Linked DNA regions of Callithrix jacchus. The protein of the gene in region 2 interacts with the protein of the main gene of each other region in a biochemical or structural test. Links are inferred from orthologs where the notes say so. Each region holds a gene or a part of one and is shown on either strand. Other genes may lie near its edges. The genes, in order: NLK and MYB.

The links.
Region 1: of the proteins of MYB (region 2) and NLK, one has a biochemical effect on the other in vitro, tested with the Homo sapiens proteins (2 studies listed by BioGRID, with this or other methods). The link is inferred for Callithrix jacchus from reciprocal best matches to the Homo sapiens genes MYB and NLK.

What each region holds. Positions count from the first base shown.
Region 1 is NC_133506.1:105,504,496-105,514,302, forward strand, and holds the start of NLK (serine/threonine-protein kinase NLK), read right to left. Parts: upstream 5,380-9,807; 5' UTR 4,245-5,379; coding exon 3,787-4,244; intron 1-3,786. UniProt on the Homo sapiens protein: Serine/threonine-protein kinase that regulates a number of transcription factors with key roles in cell fate determination. Positive effector of the non-canonical Wnt signaling pathway, acting downstream of WNT5A, MAP3K7/TAK1 and HIPK2.
Region 2 is NC_133505.1:141,906,164-141,915,451, forward strand, and holds part of MYB (transcriptional activator Myb), read left to right. Parts: intron 1-1,882; coding exon 1,883-2,000; intron 2,001-4,073; coding exon 4,074-4,145; intron 4,146-5,982; coding exon 5,983-6,075; intron 6,076-6,318; coding exon 6,319-6,539; intron 6,540-8,807; coding exon 8,808-9,042; intron 9,043-9,288. UniProt on the Homo sapiens protein: Transcriptional activator; DNA-binding protein that specifically recognize the sequence 5'-YAAC[GT]G-3'. Plays an important role in the control of proliferation and differentiation of hematopoietic progenitor cells.

The DNA.
Region 1 (9,807 bases), on a different chromosome or scaffold from region 2:
TACTATTATCCCCCTTTTATAGATGAGGAACAGAGAGGTCAAATAATTTATCAAGATCACAGAGCTAGTAAGTAACTACCACTATAGTTTTGAAAGATAAAAGTAACCTGTTGAAGTTATTAGGATAATAAAATTCAAAGACCTCCAGCATTACTTGGAGTACACAAAAAGGCAAAAGCGCAGGTGAATCCCAGGCTTTTTGATCTTTTAATTAATCAGGTAAGTTACAAACCAAAACGCTAATTTTACAAAATAGCTTTTCCCAGACTCACTTTTACCAAGGTGGCAATATGTGTCATTAACTCCATCTCTGATATGTTAAGTGGCCAATGACAAAACTGCCTAGGTGTAGTGGCCCTCAAACCACTCTCAGGTGGTTAACTTCCTCCAACTTTCAACATTATATACTTCATGAGCCCCTGAAATTCTTTGTCCCAAAGCATTTTCCTCTGGCAAATGTGAACTACAGACAAAAAGGAAGATTTATATTACACTGACCAAGTGATTGAAGTTACTATTCGTGGGTTGTTTTGTTTTGTTTTTGCATTATGAAAATGTCCCTGTGGGTGTTTGGAAGCTGAGTTTCATAAAGACAGTCAAATTATATATGACATTTTGATAACCCATAAACAACATTCTATCAGTGGCAACAAATGTATCTCAGGCTATCCCACAATCACATTACCAGGTAAACTGGAACTCTTACTTTGAGATAAAATACAGCAGACAGTTGTTAATGAAACCTTAATTGAACTGTCATAGCACCATCTTTACCAGCAAGCTAATGAGTAATTCACTATTTTACACAACTGTCCAATACTGATAAGTTAGTCCACTAGTTAAATTCAGCAAGATAAATAAAAGTCAGCTTGACTGAATTGTTCAGTGATAAATCTGGTAAAATGCTGCATCACTTCTACAAATATCTCTCCTTGTCTACATGGAAAAACAACAATCCCTCTCAAAATTGCATGCTGCTTTTGTAGCCATCAGTTAGTACTGCTGGGTGTATGTCCCCAAGGAAATGAAGGCAAATACAGTTTCTTGTCATATGCTATGCCAGAAGGATACTTGCAAAACGCATTAAATGAATATATATTTGAATTAAATGAATCTTATAATACCCAGGTAGTTAGTTATATGGTGGTTTGAATCAAATGATGTATCACTGGGAGAAAATCTTTACGTTCCATTTTAATCATTTTAGAAAAAAAGTTGTTTCCAATTCATAAGGTGCTTTCTAAGTTAAAAACAAAAATTCTTTTTAATTAAAAAGTAAAAAAATAAAATAAAATTCAGTAATACCTTTACCTTGGGTTCCAGAAAACTAGTACCTGTAGTTTGGTTTTCAAATCTCTAAACAGTCTTACTTAGGTCATACAACAGTTAAATTTCAAATCTAATAAGCAATTCAGACAGGAAGTCACCGACATGTAAATATAAAAATAGGAAAGTATTTGCATATAAAACATACACCTGAAACTCTTTCCTTTTTCATACCAAATTGTATTTCAACTGTAATAGCTGATGAAAACACTCAATGCAGTTAACTAGAAAAACTTGGTTAAAAAAAAAAAGACACAAATCACGTGAGGACGCAGAGAGGGTGGCCATCTACAAGCCAAGAAGAGAGGCCTCAAAAAAAACCAAGCCTGCACCTAAATCTTGGATATCTAGCCTCCAGAACTATGATAGATAATTTTCTGTTGTTTAAGTCAAATCAAGGAAGGACCTTACTAGATCAATTAACCAAGCAGTATAGATGCTAAAGCACTGTGCTAGGTGCCAAGAAGAAAAGGATTACTACAATAGACAATCCTTACCCTCAAGGGGCTTACGAATGTACTCAGTGACACACGGCAAACCTGAAATAAGATGGTACTTAAAGCAGTACTTTAAGTACATGAGACAAACACCATAGGTCTTAGAGCAGTCAATCAATTAAAGAACTTGAAAATGGATTCAAATCAAATACATTTGGGCTTTCAGATATCAGTGATTCACAGTACCCACTAGCAAAATGTTTGCTGTGTGAGATGTTTCAGTACTCCAGTTCTTTATTGCCCCTTTCTTAAAAATAATAAAGTTTAAAAATCTTCTCTTGCCACCAACTTGAAGTGAAAACTGCTACAAGTTACATCACTTTTTGATAGACATGTAAGTGAAAAATGCCTTTAGAATATATTCAAGAATGCTGCAACCCTTTCAGTATCCCTAGTTTTTAACATTGCACATAAGGCACTAAAAAAGCAAGCAAGCATCCAGATCTAAGAAGATCCAAACAAGTGCTAAAAGTTATTAGTAAATCAATGACAAAATTTAAACCAAGGAACAGGAAAATTTAAATTTTCCTGTTTGCTCCATCCCCCAACCAAAGCTTGGAAATCCTCAAGAATTAGGCAAGGATAGGAAATTCACAGTAAAATCTCTGAGACAGTCTATGGAAGAGAAGAGAGGAAAGCAGGAACAGGCAGGTCCCTGAGCAAAATGACAGAGAGGCACCATTACCAGCTATGCTCTTTCCCACCTGGAATCCCACACACCTTGGAGAAAGGACCATGCTGCAGCAGAAACTTCCTTGCAGACTAGCTGAGCAAACACCAGACACTACTAGTTTAAAAAATGATGAGATCACTTAGTAGCCTAGATTATCAAATCTGAAATATAAATACGATGGCAAGTTAAAATGCATAAACGATGTGCCTATCATTTTTAGCCTCAAAAACAATGACAAAAGGGGATATTTACCAGGCTAGTTCCAAAGAGTTCATTTGCCTGTAGTAATGGGGGCTTTTTAGATAGTAACAAGAATCAATTTTGAATGCACTGAAAATATCAATTCATCTATCCAAAGTGCAATCATCAGTCCTTGGGAGAAAACAGTTCATTCTAGTTTTGATAGGAACAAACATATCTTATTATAAACTACTAATCCTTTTAAGGTTAAACCGAATAGATCATGTTTTAAGAAGCCCTTAGACTTTTACAAATATCCTAGCACTAGCAAAAGTAGTGTCATTTGTTTAAAAAGTATATTTCCTACTATAGCAACTGACCAACAGATAACAGCAACTTAAGAGGCACTAAATGACACTAAAACATTACACGGAATGTGGGCCACTGCATAGCTAGTCTACTAACCTCATTTGTGGTACTCATGTGTGATGCTATATTTAATGCATTCTTATCAAAAGGCTAAAGCTACATACTTCCCAACCGTAGCTTTATGGTTTAAAATAAAACCACTCAAGCAATGATCTTAACTGGTTCAACTATGAATCCTCCCTTTCTTCTGGCAATCAAGATCACAAAGTAAGGAGTGAAATGACAGAAAGGATAAGAAAGTTACACAAAGTATATCCTAAGGACAAGAGTATTATAAAGGAATTGAGTCTGGATCAGTTGCTAACGCTTAATCCCATTGGGCAACTGATCCAAAAGAAATCAAACACATGAGATGACCAAGACCTCTGTAGGAATTAGTATTCCATACATTCATCTACTGATCCTGTGTTCAGTAGCTTGCTTAGGTTCTAACAGAAAAGTTTGGTAGACAACAAACTTATGTGTGTTGCTCATTAGACGGTGATCCACCAAAACTTGCCATGAGCCTAGACAGCCGATGCATGAGGCCTCTTTACCACGTAATGAGGGTGGCTTCCCGCAGTTGGGTTGAGAAGCTTGCTCCACCTTGGTCAACATGGAGAAAACCATAAGGGATGGAATCACCCAATCGCAACCATCAGAAGAAACCATGAGAGGTTGTGTTCTTCTTTTGATACTCACCAGACAACACCAAAGGCTCCATATCCAATAGGTCTATCCGGTTCAATATCCAGCTGTTGTTGTGGATGATGCGAGTGCTGATGATGATGCGCCTTAACTGTAGCAGCTGCGGCAGCCTGTACCTGAGCTGGGGCTGCTGCAGCTGGTCCAGGAGCCTGCCCCGGTGCCGGTGATGGGAAATATGGCTGTTGTTGCCCAGGGTTTAACATGGCTGCAGCTGCAGCCGCTGCTGCGGCTGCCGCAGCTGCCGAAGAGGTGTGCTGCTGTACAGGGTGTACAGCGGCAGCTGACCCCGGATGAAGATGGTGTTGAGGGTGGTGGTGGTGGTGCAGGTGAGGAGGTGGGAGGTGTGGAAGGTGGTGGTGATGGTGGTGGTGGTGACCTGCTGCTGCTGCAGATGTACCGCCATTGTAAGCCGCCATCATTTTTGCGTTGGCTCTTGCGCCACAAAGAGACATTCAAAATAAATGCCCTTTGATTGGAAAGCAAACTGGGTCAAGCTGTCATTTGGCCATTTAAAAATGAAGAAAAACCACTCACTCCCCCTCAAAAAACATAGAGCGTAACTGGCTTTATGTCTTCATCAGTCAATCCAAACAAGTTAAGAGGATCTTGGTGTTTTAATTTTGGGGTGAGCGTGTGTGGAAGGGTGTGGACTGCCAAAAGGAAAAAAAGGAAAAAAAGAAAAAAGAAAAGAAAAAGGAAAAAAGGACCCCTTCCCCCCAGGATTCCTGCCACAAGTGGGTACTAAAACTCCATTCTTAATTCGGGGGAGGTTCCAACTTTGAATGTGGGAATAAAGGCCAAACCTCCCGACCCCCTGAACTCCACACACGAAAAGGATCTGGTAACACACCACCCTTGGAATCTTGAAAGAAGGTTGACTCATCTACCCCTTCCATTCCCACATCCTTTTCTAAACACCTACCACCTCCTCAAAAACACGATTAAAAAAAATTCCCACCACCCTAAATGGAGAAGATAGGGGGAAATTATCTGGGAAACCAGCTTCCAGCTTCCAGCTTCCCCCCCCTCGAACTCTCAGGCCTTCCTACATCTCCCCCTATTCCTAGTCAGGTTGACCTGATTGGGGAGGGGGGGGCGGGGGGTTCTAAACTTTCCTGGGCAGAATGAGCCAGGAAAGGAGGCTGGAGTGTGGAGAGAAGGCGACAGCAGGACAGAGAGAAGAGCGAGCCGGGGCAAAAGTGAAGGGAAGGAGGTGCAGGGAGGAATGAAAGAGGTGGGCAGAGCTCGGACGCCCAGACAGAGGGAACCGCCCCGGGAGAAGGTTAGGGTCCCGGGGCCAAAGAATAGGAGCCCCGGGAGGCGGGCGGGGTACGGTCGGAAGCGGGCTGACTCCTGCCCCCGCCGCCGGCTGCTTCTGCTGAGGGTTGGGGGGGAGAGCGGGTGGGTCCCCCGCGCGACGGCCCCGCAGGGCTCAAGGCTGCTCCGTCTCCCCCCCTCCCCCCCACCCAGCTTCCGTCCCCGCGGCCGCTTTCTCCTCAGCCGCCGCGGCCACTTTCTCCTCAGCCGCCGCCTCCTCAGCCGCCGGTGCCGCCGCGGCCGGACTCACCTCCCCTAGCAAAGCCGGATAGAGCGGAGCCAGCGGCGGACACGCGCAACCAGCCGCCGAGGCCCCGCCCCCGCCTTGCACTGACCGGCTGCCCTAGCCAATCCACGCCCACCTGTCCGCAACTGCCTCCAATCCTGGACCATTAGCTTCAGACAGGCGCACTGTTCGGCCAGTGGCAACAAGGTGTGGGTCTTCTGGGGAAATCCCGCCCCCGATGCGGGATGGGCAGATAGAAAGACCAATCAAAGAGAGACTTTGGCTTGACCGACAAAGCGTAAAGCCAATTCAAAACCAAAGATCTTTGTGACATTTTTCTCTCGCCTCTCTTTTCTTTTTCTTCTTTTATTTATTTATTTATTTTTTTTGGCAGGAGCAGGAAGCTGCGTGCTAATCCCGCCTGCAAAAGCTGGAAGAGAGGGGCAGAATGAAAGAACCAATCATGAGCCGGAGACAAAGAACAGAGCAACCAATCCTTGGGTTGAAAATGAAGGGGGATAGAACCTGGGCCAGATAGACACTTGACTTGACAAATGGAAATAAAAGATTGATGTAAGTCCCGCCCTTTAGCTCTCCTATAGAACAGGATTGTGGAGAATTTGCTGTCATAATGAGACAACCTCTTCAAGGGGCAGGACTTGGGGAAAGGGGTGGGGTCTTGAAGTGGGCGGGACCTAGATGAAGAAGGCGGAGTCCAAATCACTGGTCCATTGATCTGTGCTGTCTAATATCCCATTTAATATGTAAAGTGTGAGGAAAGAAATAGGGAAAGAAAAAGGGAATGTCTGAGGCCAGGCGCGGTGGCTCACACCTGTAATTCCAGCACTTTGGGAAGCCGAGGAGGGTGGATCACGAGGTTAAGAGATCGAGACCATCTTGGTCAACATGGTGAAACCCCGTCTCTACTAAAAATACAAAAATTAGCCGGGCTTTTGGCACACACCTGTGGTCCCAGCTACTCGGGAGGCTGAGGCGGAAGAATCGCTTGAACCCGGGAGGTGGAGGTTGCAGTGAGCCGAGATTGCGCTACTGCATTCCAGCCTGGCGACAGAGCAAGACTCTGTCTCAAAAAAAAAAAAAAAGAAAGAAAGAAAGAAAAGAAAAAGGGAATGTTGAGCTTCGGAAACTCAAGGTGCAAGGTCACCCAACAAGAAGATAGTTACAAAAGAAACTCAGTAGACTGACAGTTCATAGTCTACGGCTGGTCCTCCATGGTTAATCCTGATGTTGGCAAAAAGTGGAGGAATCTCCAACATTCAGAAACCCATTGTCAACAGATGATAAAGCTGTTGGTGCAAATTTTTAAAAGTAAACTTGACCACAAAAATGACAATTTTCTTTCATCTTTCTTTCTTAACAGGGTCGCATTCTGTCACCTAAGCTGGACTGCAGTAGTGCAGTCCTAAATCAATGCAGCCTCCAGTTCCTGGTTCAAGTAATCTTCCTGCCTCAGCCTCCCAGATAGTTGGGATTACAGATGTGCACCCCCATGACCGGCTGATTCTTTAAGTCTTTAGAAACACGGTCTCAATATGTTGCCCAGACTGGTCTCAAATTCTTAGGCTCAAGAGATCCTCCTGTCTCCCACCTCGGCCTCCCAAATTTCTGGAATTACAGGCATGAGCCACCACCCCTAGTCTCTTCCATATTTTCTATCAAGTAAGTTTCTGTCATTGAAAGCTTACTAAAATAGCATGTTTCCTTTACATCACTTCACTTATCTGAATTTATCCTTCTTTTAAATGTAAAATAATAAGCTTACAGAAACTTATCCCTACTCAGAAACTTGGAGGTCATCTTCAATCCCTCCTTTGCCTGTCCACATTGTCCCTTCCAATCAATCAATCATCAAGTCTTTTTTGTTTTGTTTTGTTTTGTTTTCTGAGACAAGATCTCTGATGCCCAGTCTGGACTGCAGTGGTGTGACCACTGCTCACTGCAGCCTCCACCTCTTGGGCTCAGGTGATCCTCCCACCTCAGCCTCCGAAGTAGCTGGGACTGCAGCATGCTCTACCAACCCAGCTAATTATTGTTTTTGGTTTTTTTTTTGTAAAGATGGGGTTTTGCATGTTGCCCAGGCTGAATCACCAAGTCTTAAACAATTTTAAATCTCCCTCACTTCTGCTTCTTCCCAGTCACACAGCATTTACCCAAATTTACACCACTAGCATCTTTAACGACTTCCCTGCCTACAAGCTAGCTCTGCTTTGATCCATCCCTCTAGGGAGCATAATAAACTTTGAAAAATGGAAATCTGACTGGGCGTGGTGCCTCATGCCTGTAATTCAAGCACTTAGGAGGCCAAGGTGGGCAGATCAATTGAGGTCGGGAGTTCAAGACCAGCCTAACCAACATGGTGAAACCCTGTCTTAAAAAATAATAATAATAAAATAAAATAATTCAAATCTGAGACCTGATTGCAGGTGAAGTGCTCACACCTGTAATCCCAGCGCTTCGTGAGGCCAAGGTGGGTGTATCCCTTGAGCTCAGGAGCTCGAGATCAATCCAGGCAATGCAGCAAAACCCTATGTCTACAAAAAATACAAAAATTAGCGGAGTGTGTGGTACACATGTCTCTAGTCCCAGCTACTGTGGAGGCTGAGGTGGGAGGATAACATGAGCCAGGGAGGTAGAGGCCACAGTTAGCTGAGATCCCACAAGTGCACTCCAGCCTGGGTGACATGGGTGACAGTAAGATCGTGCCTCAAAAAAAAAAAAAAGTCTGGCTGAATCCCTAAATAGTCTGGCAATGATCTGGTTCCTGCTACCTATCTCAAGGGTCTTATCTCTCTCCTCCACCCTCTACATTTCAGACATTTTGAACTTCCTGCAGCTCCTTGTATGCTTTCAAGCATTCATGCATATCTTCAGCCCAAAACACTTCCCACCCACCCTCCACTCCTCTAATTCATCCCTCAGGTCTTCATGTAAATTTTACTTTTATTCCTGGAAAGTTCTCTCTAACTCTGTTCTAGAGTATATGTTTCTGTTGTATATCTCCATGACACTGCTTCCCTCATATTCTATATTTTAATTGCTTGTTGAATTTGACCAGGACAGAGAGCTTGTCTGTCTCACTCCATGTTGTATGCCCAGTTCTTTAGGACAGTGCTCGAAAAAGGAGAAGACACTTGCTACAGATTTGCCTGAATTGCTGAGTGCAGAAGTGGGTACAAACCCAAGCTCTGCCATTTACTTACTCTATAGCTTAAGCAACTTAACTAACCTTTCTCAATCTCAGCTGTGTCAACAGAAATAGCAATACATGACTCATCAGGTCGATATGAGGACTAAATGAGGTGATGTATTTAAAAGTGCTTGGTAAATAGTGAGAACGAAATATAAATTATCTTCAACACTTACCCTCATGTAATATTTGAGATGCCTTTCCAATTTTCCAATACACAGCACTCTTCTCCAAAGTGTAGTTTCCTAAAAGCTTCTTAGATGTACAGCAAATTATCTGGTGAAACCAGGACCTACTGAATTGCGGGAGGAGAGGAGGAATCTGTTTAACAAGCTCTCCAGGTGATTCTTATAAACGCTAGAGCTTAGGAAGCACAGGCCTAGAGTAAAGGAGCTTAGTCTTCATAAACTTTATTTTTCAGCACTTAGTATACTACTATTATAACACATAGAAAGTGCTTGATACACATGAAATGAATTAATTAATCTAATCCATGAGAAAACAATTTCACATCAAGAGTTATTTATTCCTTCCACAAACGTGTTGATCACTGATTTTTTTTTCTTTTCTTTCATTCTTCTTTTTTTTTAATTGCATTTTAGGTTTTGGGGTACATGTGAAGAACATGCAAGATTGTCACATAGGTACACACATGGCAGCGTGATTTGCTACCTTCCTCCTTTTCACCTATATCTGGCATTTCTCCCCATGCTATCTCTCCCCAACTCCCCACCCCCCACTGTCCCTCCCCTATTTCCCCCCGACAGACCCCAGTGTGTGATGCTCCCCTCCCATGTCCATGTGTTCTCGTCATTCAACACTCACCTATGAGTGAGAACATTCGGTGTTTGATTTTTGGTTCTTGTGTCAGTTTGCTGAGAATGATGATCTCCAGGTTCATCCATGTCCCTATAAAGGACACGAACTCATCGTTTTTTTATGGCTGCATAGTATTCCATGGTGTATATGTGCCACATTTTCCCTGCCCAGTCTATCATCGATGGGCATTTGGGTTGGCTCCAGGTCTTTGCTATTGTAAACAGGTTGAACACTGATTGTATCTAGGCATGGTGCTAACGTCAACTGTGGGGGAGGGGAGATAGATATACAGATGCTCCAGGACCCATGCTGAGGCTGTATCGCAATAAGCCCATTGTACATTGAAAATGCATTTAATACCATATCCTACTGAACATCGTAGCCTAGCATACCTTAACGCACTCAGAACACAGACACTAGCCTACAGTTCCGCGAGATCATCTGG
Region 2 (9,288 bases):
ACCCTAGTCCTGTGTGATTCTCGTGCGCTCGCCTGACATTGGCTGCCCCCTGCGGGCGGCTGAATACGTTGCTTGTTCCTGGGTTATAAAACTGCTGCCGAGAGGCGCTCAATGACTACTCTGAAAAATGTCCGCAGTTCTGAAAATGTGACCTCTAGATCCAGCCAAACCTGAAAAGTTGATTCGACTTGAATCTACGACTGCAGTTTCAGATTCCTCTGGTTTTCTTGGTGTCTCTCACATTTCGCAAGGGACTGCATTTGGGGGCTTTCCAAGGAGTTCCCTATGAATCTTTCAAAAGATGCTGATTTCCACCTCTTTCTTAAAGCTTTCTTTTTTTTTTTTTTTTTTTTTTTTTTGCTTTAACACATCGTGTTTTAAATTTTTGTAATTCTTGTTCAGAAGTTGTTTAGTGCCTTTTGTTGACAGTGGAATCAGAACTAGGCTATTGTTTCGACGCACAGACACTAGATGAAAGGGATTATTACAGATTATAAACATACATTTCCTGGGATTTTATTTGGTGGTGGTGGTGGTGTTTTAAATTTGGATTGCGTCATGTCATTATGAAACCTGGACTATCAGATTGTTGCTTAAAATAATAGTTTTAAATTATGAGAATCCCCAATTCAGGATTTTTGATAAGCACTTTAGCTTGACTTGTAGGGGGCTGGTAATATGTGTATATGAGTTAGTTTGGGAAGAAAAACCTGTCATGAATATAACTTTTCATTTTAAAAACAATGGATTATATTACGATATTGCTTTACATCATTTTTTTATTGGTCTCGGTTTGATGGGTTTCTCAACATTGCAATGACAAATTTTAGTGAAGGTTCTAAGATAGTATTTTTCCTATTTAAGTCTTACAAGAAAAACTATAAAACAAACTGTGTCTGTAAAATTATTGTCATCTAATCAGTATATGATTAGTAAACAGTAAGCACAGAGTTACTTTAAAAGTCATCAAATTTCCTAGGTTTGGTTAACTAAAAAAGAGAAAAAGCTCTTTTGAAAATAGTAATGGGTTCTTTTAAATCCATGGATTTCTTCTGGGGAAATCCCTTAGTTCTGAATTAGGTCACATTTTATAGTATTTCAAACACCGTTCTGTCAGAGACAGAAAAAGCAAAAGAGTAAGTAAGACTCTGACTAACAGGTGGCCTAATTATTCACTTAGTTACTCTAGAAACTAAGTATTGTAAACATGGGCACAACTTGGATCAACTAGGCCCGGAGTTGTGAGCAATTTGGTATTAATTTTATTTACAAAACACTGAAGTTTGATCACTCATGTTCTTATCTTTCCTTAGGTTTTAAAATCCTTTCCTCTTAGATTCTCCTAATCTTCTAGACTTTATGGGATGACTATAATTATGTTTGGGGGTGTATTGCTTCTTGATTTTTTTCTTCTTTTAATAAAACAAAAGCCCCATTGAAATAACATAATTGAATTGTTTATTATGTTTGAGAAATATTTAAACAATGTGACAAATGCCAAAGATTTTGAGTGTGTACTTAAAGAAAGGACACGGGTTCTCGTTCCTTTTCTTGTCCTTAACCTTAAGTTTTGAACTTCATTGGCTGGAAGGTGGCCAAATGTGTAACTTGTCCCTGGTCTAACAGTAACAGCAGGTTCAGACATGCAGGGGAATAGGAAGGTGCCAGGTCCTTGACTGTATCTGTGGATACCCATAACAGCAGAACCAGTTTACAATACTAGAGCAACAGAATGCAGCAAACAATCTTGTTGTGCAAGTTTGCAAAGTTTTACCTTTGTAACCTTTGAAAAGATTATTGAGTTTTTGTGGAAGTTTTGTAATCCAGTAGTAGTCTAAATCCTCATGTTTCAGCCCACATCTGCCCATTCCTATTTCTGCAGCATATATAGCAGTGACGAGGATGATGAGGACTTTGAGATGTGTGATCATGACTATGATGGGCTGCTTCCCAAGTCTGGAAAGCGTCACTTGGGGAAAACAAGGTGGACTCGGGAAGAGGTAACTGATCATTTTATCAAAACATGGAAAACAGATAGAGTGTATAATTTATACAAAACAGAATTTCAACTAAACTACAGGTGCTCCAGCTCGTTAGCAGGCTCTTTGATATCTTATCCTAGCCTGCATGTACAGCGTGCCTTACACCCCGCCCCCAATTATATTATCCATTTCCACACTATTTGCAGTTCTTTGAATGTCGTCTTCTTCTTCTCATTTTAGACTTCGTCTATGTTTCCTTCTGCCTGTTGAGTTCTCATTCTTTTGTCCCATCTCTTCTTCCTGCTTTTACATTGCCTATGAAGGCATCACCTCTTCTGTGAAGCCACCCCTGGCTTCACTGGGAAGGACTGGATGCATCCTCCTGTGAGCCCATGCATGAGTGCATGTTCTGCTTTATTGTTGCTGGGACATAGATGCCTCCTCTAGCTGACTGCAAGTCTGTTGAGGGCAGGACTCAACATCTATTCACTTTTTTTTTCCTTTTTTCACATATATATATATATATATATATATATATATATATTTTTTTTTTTTTTTTTTTTTTTTTTGAGGGGCCGGAGTTTCACTCTTGTTACCCAGGCCAGAGTGCAATGGCATGATCTTGGCTCACTGCAGCCTCGGCCTCCTGGGTTCAGGCAATTCTCCTGCCTCAGCCTCCCGAGTAGCTGGGACTACAGGCCTGCACCACCATGCCCAGCTAAAATGTCTGTTAATCTTTGTGTTTCCTGAACTCACAAGTGCTTGACCCAAAGTAGGATATTAATAAATGTTCTCTGAATAGTGAATGACTTACTTTCCCTAAAACAAAATAGACAAAAGGATACTCAGAGAACTCATCTTTTTACAATGTATTCATTTAAGATCTTTGATATATTTCACAGAGCCATATATATGAAGGTATGCTCTAAAAGCGTCCAGTAATGGATGAAGACACATCTGCTTCCCCTGTTTCTTTTTCGGCTAGCTTGTCAAAAGTTTGATTTTGTAGGAATGGAAAAATACTTCAGAAGCAAAATTAATAATATGTGGAGAAAAGTTTCTCTAATGTTCTTAGACATTTTTGCAACTAATTTTAGATGATTCTTGTTACAATAAATGGTATTGGCTCATCTTCAGTTTCACTGTGCTCTGCTTCATTTAAACCAGAGCTCCTTTTGACAGGCAGGTAGGATTCCCAGAGGGGTCCATAGGAAATTCACATTTTACCTATTAAGCATGTGCACTTGGTTAATCCTTGTGCTCTGGAAATTCTGTTGTCCCCATTGGCTTCCTAATTCTTGTGTATGGTATGGTACCAGGGACCTTCGTTGTGTATGAATGTTACCTTTGCAGAAATATAAGAAGGAATACATTTTTTAAAGACACTTATGAACTGGTAGGTTATGAACAGCATATAAACTAAAAGAACTGATTACCTGCAAATGTTGAGTGTCTTTTATGTTCTAACACATTTGGCCTCATTTATATTGTGAATATATTGGTGCAAAAACTAAATGATTTTATTTAGTCTTCAAGTTTAATTTTAAAAATGATCTTCATTTCTGTATAAAGGGTTAAAATAACTGGAAATATTCTATTTCTTGCTCAAGATTTTATTTATTGCTGTAGGTAAATATGTACTGAATAAAGCATTGGCATGCATTTTTCCCCACAGAGTAAAGCAGTTATTTGTATATTAAACACACACTATATGCCAGGCATTATGATAAGTGTTTGCAAAATTGCCTCATATAATCCCCAAATAACCCTGTTAATATCAGCCTCATGTTAATAAATTGCCTCATTTAATCCCCAAATAACCCTGTTAATTTCCATTTTATAGATGGCAATACTAAGGCACAGAAAGGGAAAATGATAAACCCACTTTACACAATCAGTAGTGGAGTCAAGATGCCAAACTCTGGTCTGACTAAATATATGCTCCCAAGTCAGTATATTACATTAATACCTGCTGTATTTGGATACTTTTGAGAGATTTTCTATTCTGGATTCGTTCCCTCATTCACTTTAACTTGAACAGAGTTATATAGTAAATGACTGATATCCTAGGATTACCTTTAAATGTCATAGGATGAAAAACTAAAGAAGCTGGTGGAACAGAATGGAACAGATGACTGGAAAGTTATTGCCAATTTTCTCCCGGTAAGCTAGTAACTTTTTCTTATTACAAAAGGAAAGCTTCTCCCAGTGATTTCTATAAAATATTCTAGGAGGGGTTATTAAGATAGTATATTATTTGCTCACATTTAAGAAGTAGGAGAAATGCCTTACCCATAACTTACATTTTATATTATAATGCATATAATTGGGATTTCTAAATTGATTATTGGAATTTAGATTATTAGAATCAATTATTATAATTTAGATTGTTGAATTTTAAAAACAATTGCTTCTTGTTTTATCTTTTCATGTATAGGTTAATTTGTATTTCGATAATTTGTTACGTGGTAGATGATTAAACTTGTTCTTTCCTCCAAGTCAGTTTTTCCTGAATTCCCTGTTTTTGTCAATAGCAATACTTTTGGCACCAGGGTTTAAAATTCTGGAGACCTTTCTTAACTTAGTGCATACCCCCAACCCCTACATCCAAGCAGTTACTAAGGATCCTGGAATTCCTTTATAGTCAATCCCGTCCTTTACATTCTCATGGCTGTGCTGAAGGTTGGGCTTCTGCCTTCTCATTTGGACTATCATACAACTTCCTAACTAGCTTCCCCACTTGTAGTTTTCCATTTTTCTTTCTTTCTCTTTTTTTTTTTTTGAAATGGAGACTAGCTTTGTCACCTAGGCTGCAGTGCAGAAGCACAGTCTCGGCTCACTGCAACCTCCACCTTAGCTGGGATTACAGGCACCTGCCACCACACCTGGCTAATTTTTGTATTTGTAGTAGAGACAAGGTTTCACGATGTTGGTCAGGCTGGTTTCAAACTCCTGACCTCAAGTGATCCACCCACCTCAGCCTCCCAAAGTGCTGGGATTACAGGTGTGAGCCACCGTGCCTGGCCAGTTTTCTACTTTTCCATCCATCCCAAACACCATTGGCAGGTGGGACTTCCTAAAATGCAGCTGTACCTTATCTTTTCAAAACGAACCACAGTGACTTAGAACTCACAAATTAAGTAAACTGCCTTGACCTGGCACATAGAGGCCCTCCTCTATTGCCCCAACTTCTAGCTCCAGTTCTGTTTCCTACTTCCTCTCTGTAAGCAGGTTTGCTTGAATTTATTTCTGCTTTCCCTCCTCTGGGCTTTTGCTCCTGGTGTTCCCACCTCCTAGAATGTTCTCCTTTTACATCACCAATTAAAGTTTTGTTCATCCTTCAAAGTCCTTATGAAGAGCTCTTCCAGACTCCTCTCAAGGAAACCATTTCACCTCCTAAGAAGATGCTTCTCTCCTCACTTCAGTATCATTTTGCTTTGGTCTTTTCTTCCATATGAATCAAATTCAGCCTCTGTGATAATCAGTCATCTATTTGTCTTTTCCCTCTTAAAAGATTACAAGCTCCTGTAACATAGGAACTGTCTTTTATGGATCTTTATTCCTTCTGCAATATAAATACCGTGGTCCTGAACTGAAGCACATCTCTTGTTGGAATGGGAAGCAAACTTTAGTCATTTAGGGTGGGTTTCCATGAAAGCCTGACAATGTAGAATCTCTATCAAGCCTTAGGCCATGTAGATACTCTGCAGATGTATCTCAGGTTAAGGTTAAGTTGACAGGTGCGTGTGTAGTATGATGGTCCTTTGGTTCATGCGGCAGGACTGTTTCCCTCAGGAGGCAGAATGTATAATCTTAGAGCAACTTTGATGGATTACTTGCATGTTCTGTAGTCTGTAAATAATGAGGGATAGGTGAGCTCTAAGCATGCTCTAAAATGTTCTTAAATATTTTCACGGCATATGGTCTGTGTGTGACTCTGTGACAACAATGAATTCATGTGCTTATCACTTCATATCTTTATGGTACTCTGTTTGTCTAGAATCGAACGGATGTGCAGTGCCAGCACCGATGGCAGAAAGTATTAAACCCTGAGCTCATCAAGGGTCCTTGGACCAAAGAAGAAGATCAGAGAGTAAGTTCTTTCTTCATTGGTGTGTGAATCATAATTAAGAATATTCCCCAAATGCTGAATTTTTTCTGTTTGAGGAAGCAGGTAAAATGGGCAAACAGGAAGTAGAGGACTCTCTTCCCATATTTCCAATGAATGAAAGCAAATTTTGGAAATTTTCTAAAGATCTTGTAACACTGAAGAATGAATATACTAACTCATTACATAACATTAAAACATAGGTTATTTTTGTGTGTTTATCTGAAGGTGATAGAGCTTGTACAGAAATACGGTCCGAAACGTTGGTCTGTTATTGCCAAGCACTTAAAGGGGAGAATTGGAAAACAATGTAGGGAGAGGTGGCATAACCACTTGAATCCAGAAGTTAAGAAAACCTCCTGGACAGAAGAGGAAGACAGAATTATTTACCAGGCACACAAGAGACTGGGGAACAGATGGGCAGAAATCGCAAAGCTACTGCCTGGACGGTAATAATATGTCAAAAAAATATATTGATCGGGAAGAATGAGGGAGTGGGTATTGGACATTCTGCTTAAAATGTATGGTGAGTGAATTAAATTTCATCAGTCGTAAGTGTTTTATTAGATAGCCCAGCTACATAGCTTTTAGAGACTGAAGACATCTTAGAGTTTATTTGGTTGAGAACTTTCGGGATCCACCTGACAGTGAGCCCAGGGTAAAGACATTTAACTCTCCCCAATTTCCCTATTTCCAAAATGACTCACACCAGGGCCAGTGTTAGGATCAAGTGAAATGAATGTCAAAGGACTTGGTAAATTATAAAACTCTAAATGCATAGAAAGAAACTGAAGGCAGTTTGTCTCTGGCTGAGTTCACATAGCTGGTTAAGTGACTCAGAGGAACTCAGCCACCATTTTCCTGATAACCATCATTCTTTTTTTTTTTTTTTTGAGACAGGGTCTTGCTCTGTCACCCAGGCTGGAGTGCAGTGGTGCAATCTTGGCTCACTGTAATCTCTGCCTCCCGAGTTCAAGCAATTCTCCTGCCTCAGCCTCCTGAGTAGCTGGGACTACAGGCACATGCCACCATGCCCAGTTCATTTTTGGATTAGCTGGGGTTTCACCCTGTTGGCCAGGATGGTCTCAATCTCCTGACCTCTTGATCCACCTGCCTCGGCCTCCCAAAGTCCTGAAATTACAGGCGTGAGCCACGGCACCCGGCCTTGTTCATTTCTTTAATTTTTTTTTTTTTAAGAGACAGAGGCTTCTTCTGTCACACAGGCTGGAGTGCAGGGGCATGAGCATAGCTCAATACATCCTTGAACTCCTGGGCTCAAGGGATCCTTTCACCTCAGCCTCTTGAGTAGCTAGGCCTACAGGTGCACGCCACTACACCCAACTGATTTTAAAACACTTTTGTAGAGTTGATCTTACTGTGTTGCCCTGGCTGGTCTCAAACTCCTGGCCTCAAGCAATCCTTTTGCCTCCCAAAGTGCTGAGATTATAGGCATGGGCCACTGTACCTGGCCACCAATATTCATTTTATTATACCACTTTGCTTAATTTTTTACTCCATTGATTAAAGAAATAAGGTATTTCTCGAATTCTCATACTACTTCAAGGATTTTAAATGTCAATATAATAATGCTTTCTTTTTAATGAACAAGGCAAAGAAATGACCTCATTATGAGAGATAACTATGGAAGCTCATTTTTGTCCCATTTTCCCACTTAAATAGTATATAACAGATTTTGTTACTCTGGAAAGCAGTACTTTTAATGATAAATTTTGCATAAAAATGATACAGATAGAAAATATTAAAAATAGTTTTATTCTTGAGCTTCATAATCCAGGAGAAAGTTTATGTAGTATTCTCCAGTGATGCTCCAATGCATTTGCACCCTCGTGGTTCAGTATAAACTTAGAAAATTCAAGAGGTTGGTAAAAAGAGGTCTTCATTCCCATATGGCCTCAGAGGATACACTGCTGATTCTTCTCAAAATTAACAAGGCTATCGAACTTCCTCTTTCTTTAGCATGCATTCCCCCACCCCCATTGAAATAGTAAAAGGGAGGCTTAAACGGTTTTTTTGAATTGAGAAACTGTTTTTCCTGAGAATGGAAAGACTTTAGTAAAAAGGCGTTGCTGTTTGAAACTATACTGCGGGGGTTAGGATCTTTCCCTTGGGAATGCCATTTTCCACCCTCATCTCTGTCTGATTGGAATAACAATTGGGGTGGTTTTTAAAGGGTAGGAGGTTTTTTGGTCTCAAAAGTTCTTGCTAGTCCTTCGAGAGATAAAGAGTGAAGTATTCTTCATCAGCAGCATCTTATCACCCACCAAACTTCACCGTGTCCCTATTGTGGTGTGTAGGCCCTGCTGTGCTGCATTCAAAGAAGGAATTTCTTCAAAGCAGCTGGAACTTCACATTGTGTTAGAGTCTTGTACCACAAACGGTCAGAATAATTATGAAGCGTCATTGTATTGAAAATACTCCTTTACCAAGGAAATGAAATGGTTAAAAGATACTGACATTTCTAGAAAACGATGTGCATTCCAGATTGTGTAACTAAGAGAAATCTATGGATTTCTAACAAGGCAATAGAGAAAGCCTGATCTTAGGGGGTGGAGAAGAAGAAAACCATTAAAAAGGGGGAAAACTATGACTGGGCCCAAGGGAAAGGTCTGTGTTAGAAACAGTTTTCTGTCAATTCACTTTAATCTGAATTGAAATTTTTTGTTTGTGAAATTTGTATGTGATATATTTCTGTGCAGAACTGATAATGCTATCAAGAACCACTGGAATTCTACAATGCGTCGGAAGGTCGAACAGGAAGGTTATCTGCAGGACTCTTCAAAAGCCAGCCAGCCAGCAGTGGCCACAAGCTTCCAGAAGAACAGTCATTTGATGGGTTTTGCTCAGGCTCCACCTACAGCTCAACTCCCTGCAACTGGCCAGCCCTCCGTTAACAATGACTATTCCTATTACCACATTTCTGAAGCACAAAATGTAAGCCATTCTTGAGAATCTGGTTTAATGAGAGAGATGGTTAATTTAGCTCCAGGTAGTAATCATATTTTGCAGTTGTATACTGTTCAGAGAACCTTCCTGGGCATGATCATGGCCAGTCGTCTTCAACTTTCCTGGGCATGATCATGAGGTAGATAGGGTGTAGATATTGTTTGTTATCACTGGTTTATGTCTTCAGAAATGAAGATGGTAAGTGCTTTGCTCAGGGTGACATAGAGATAGTGT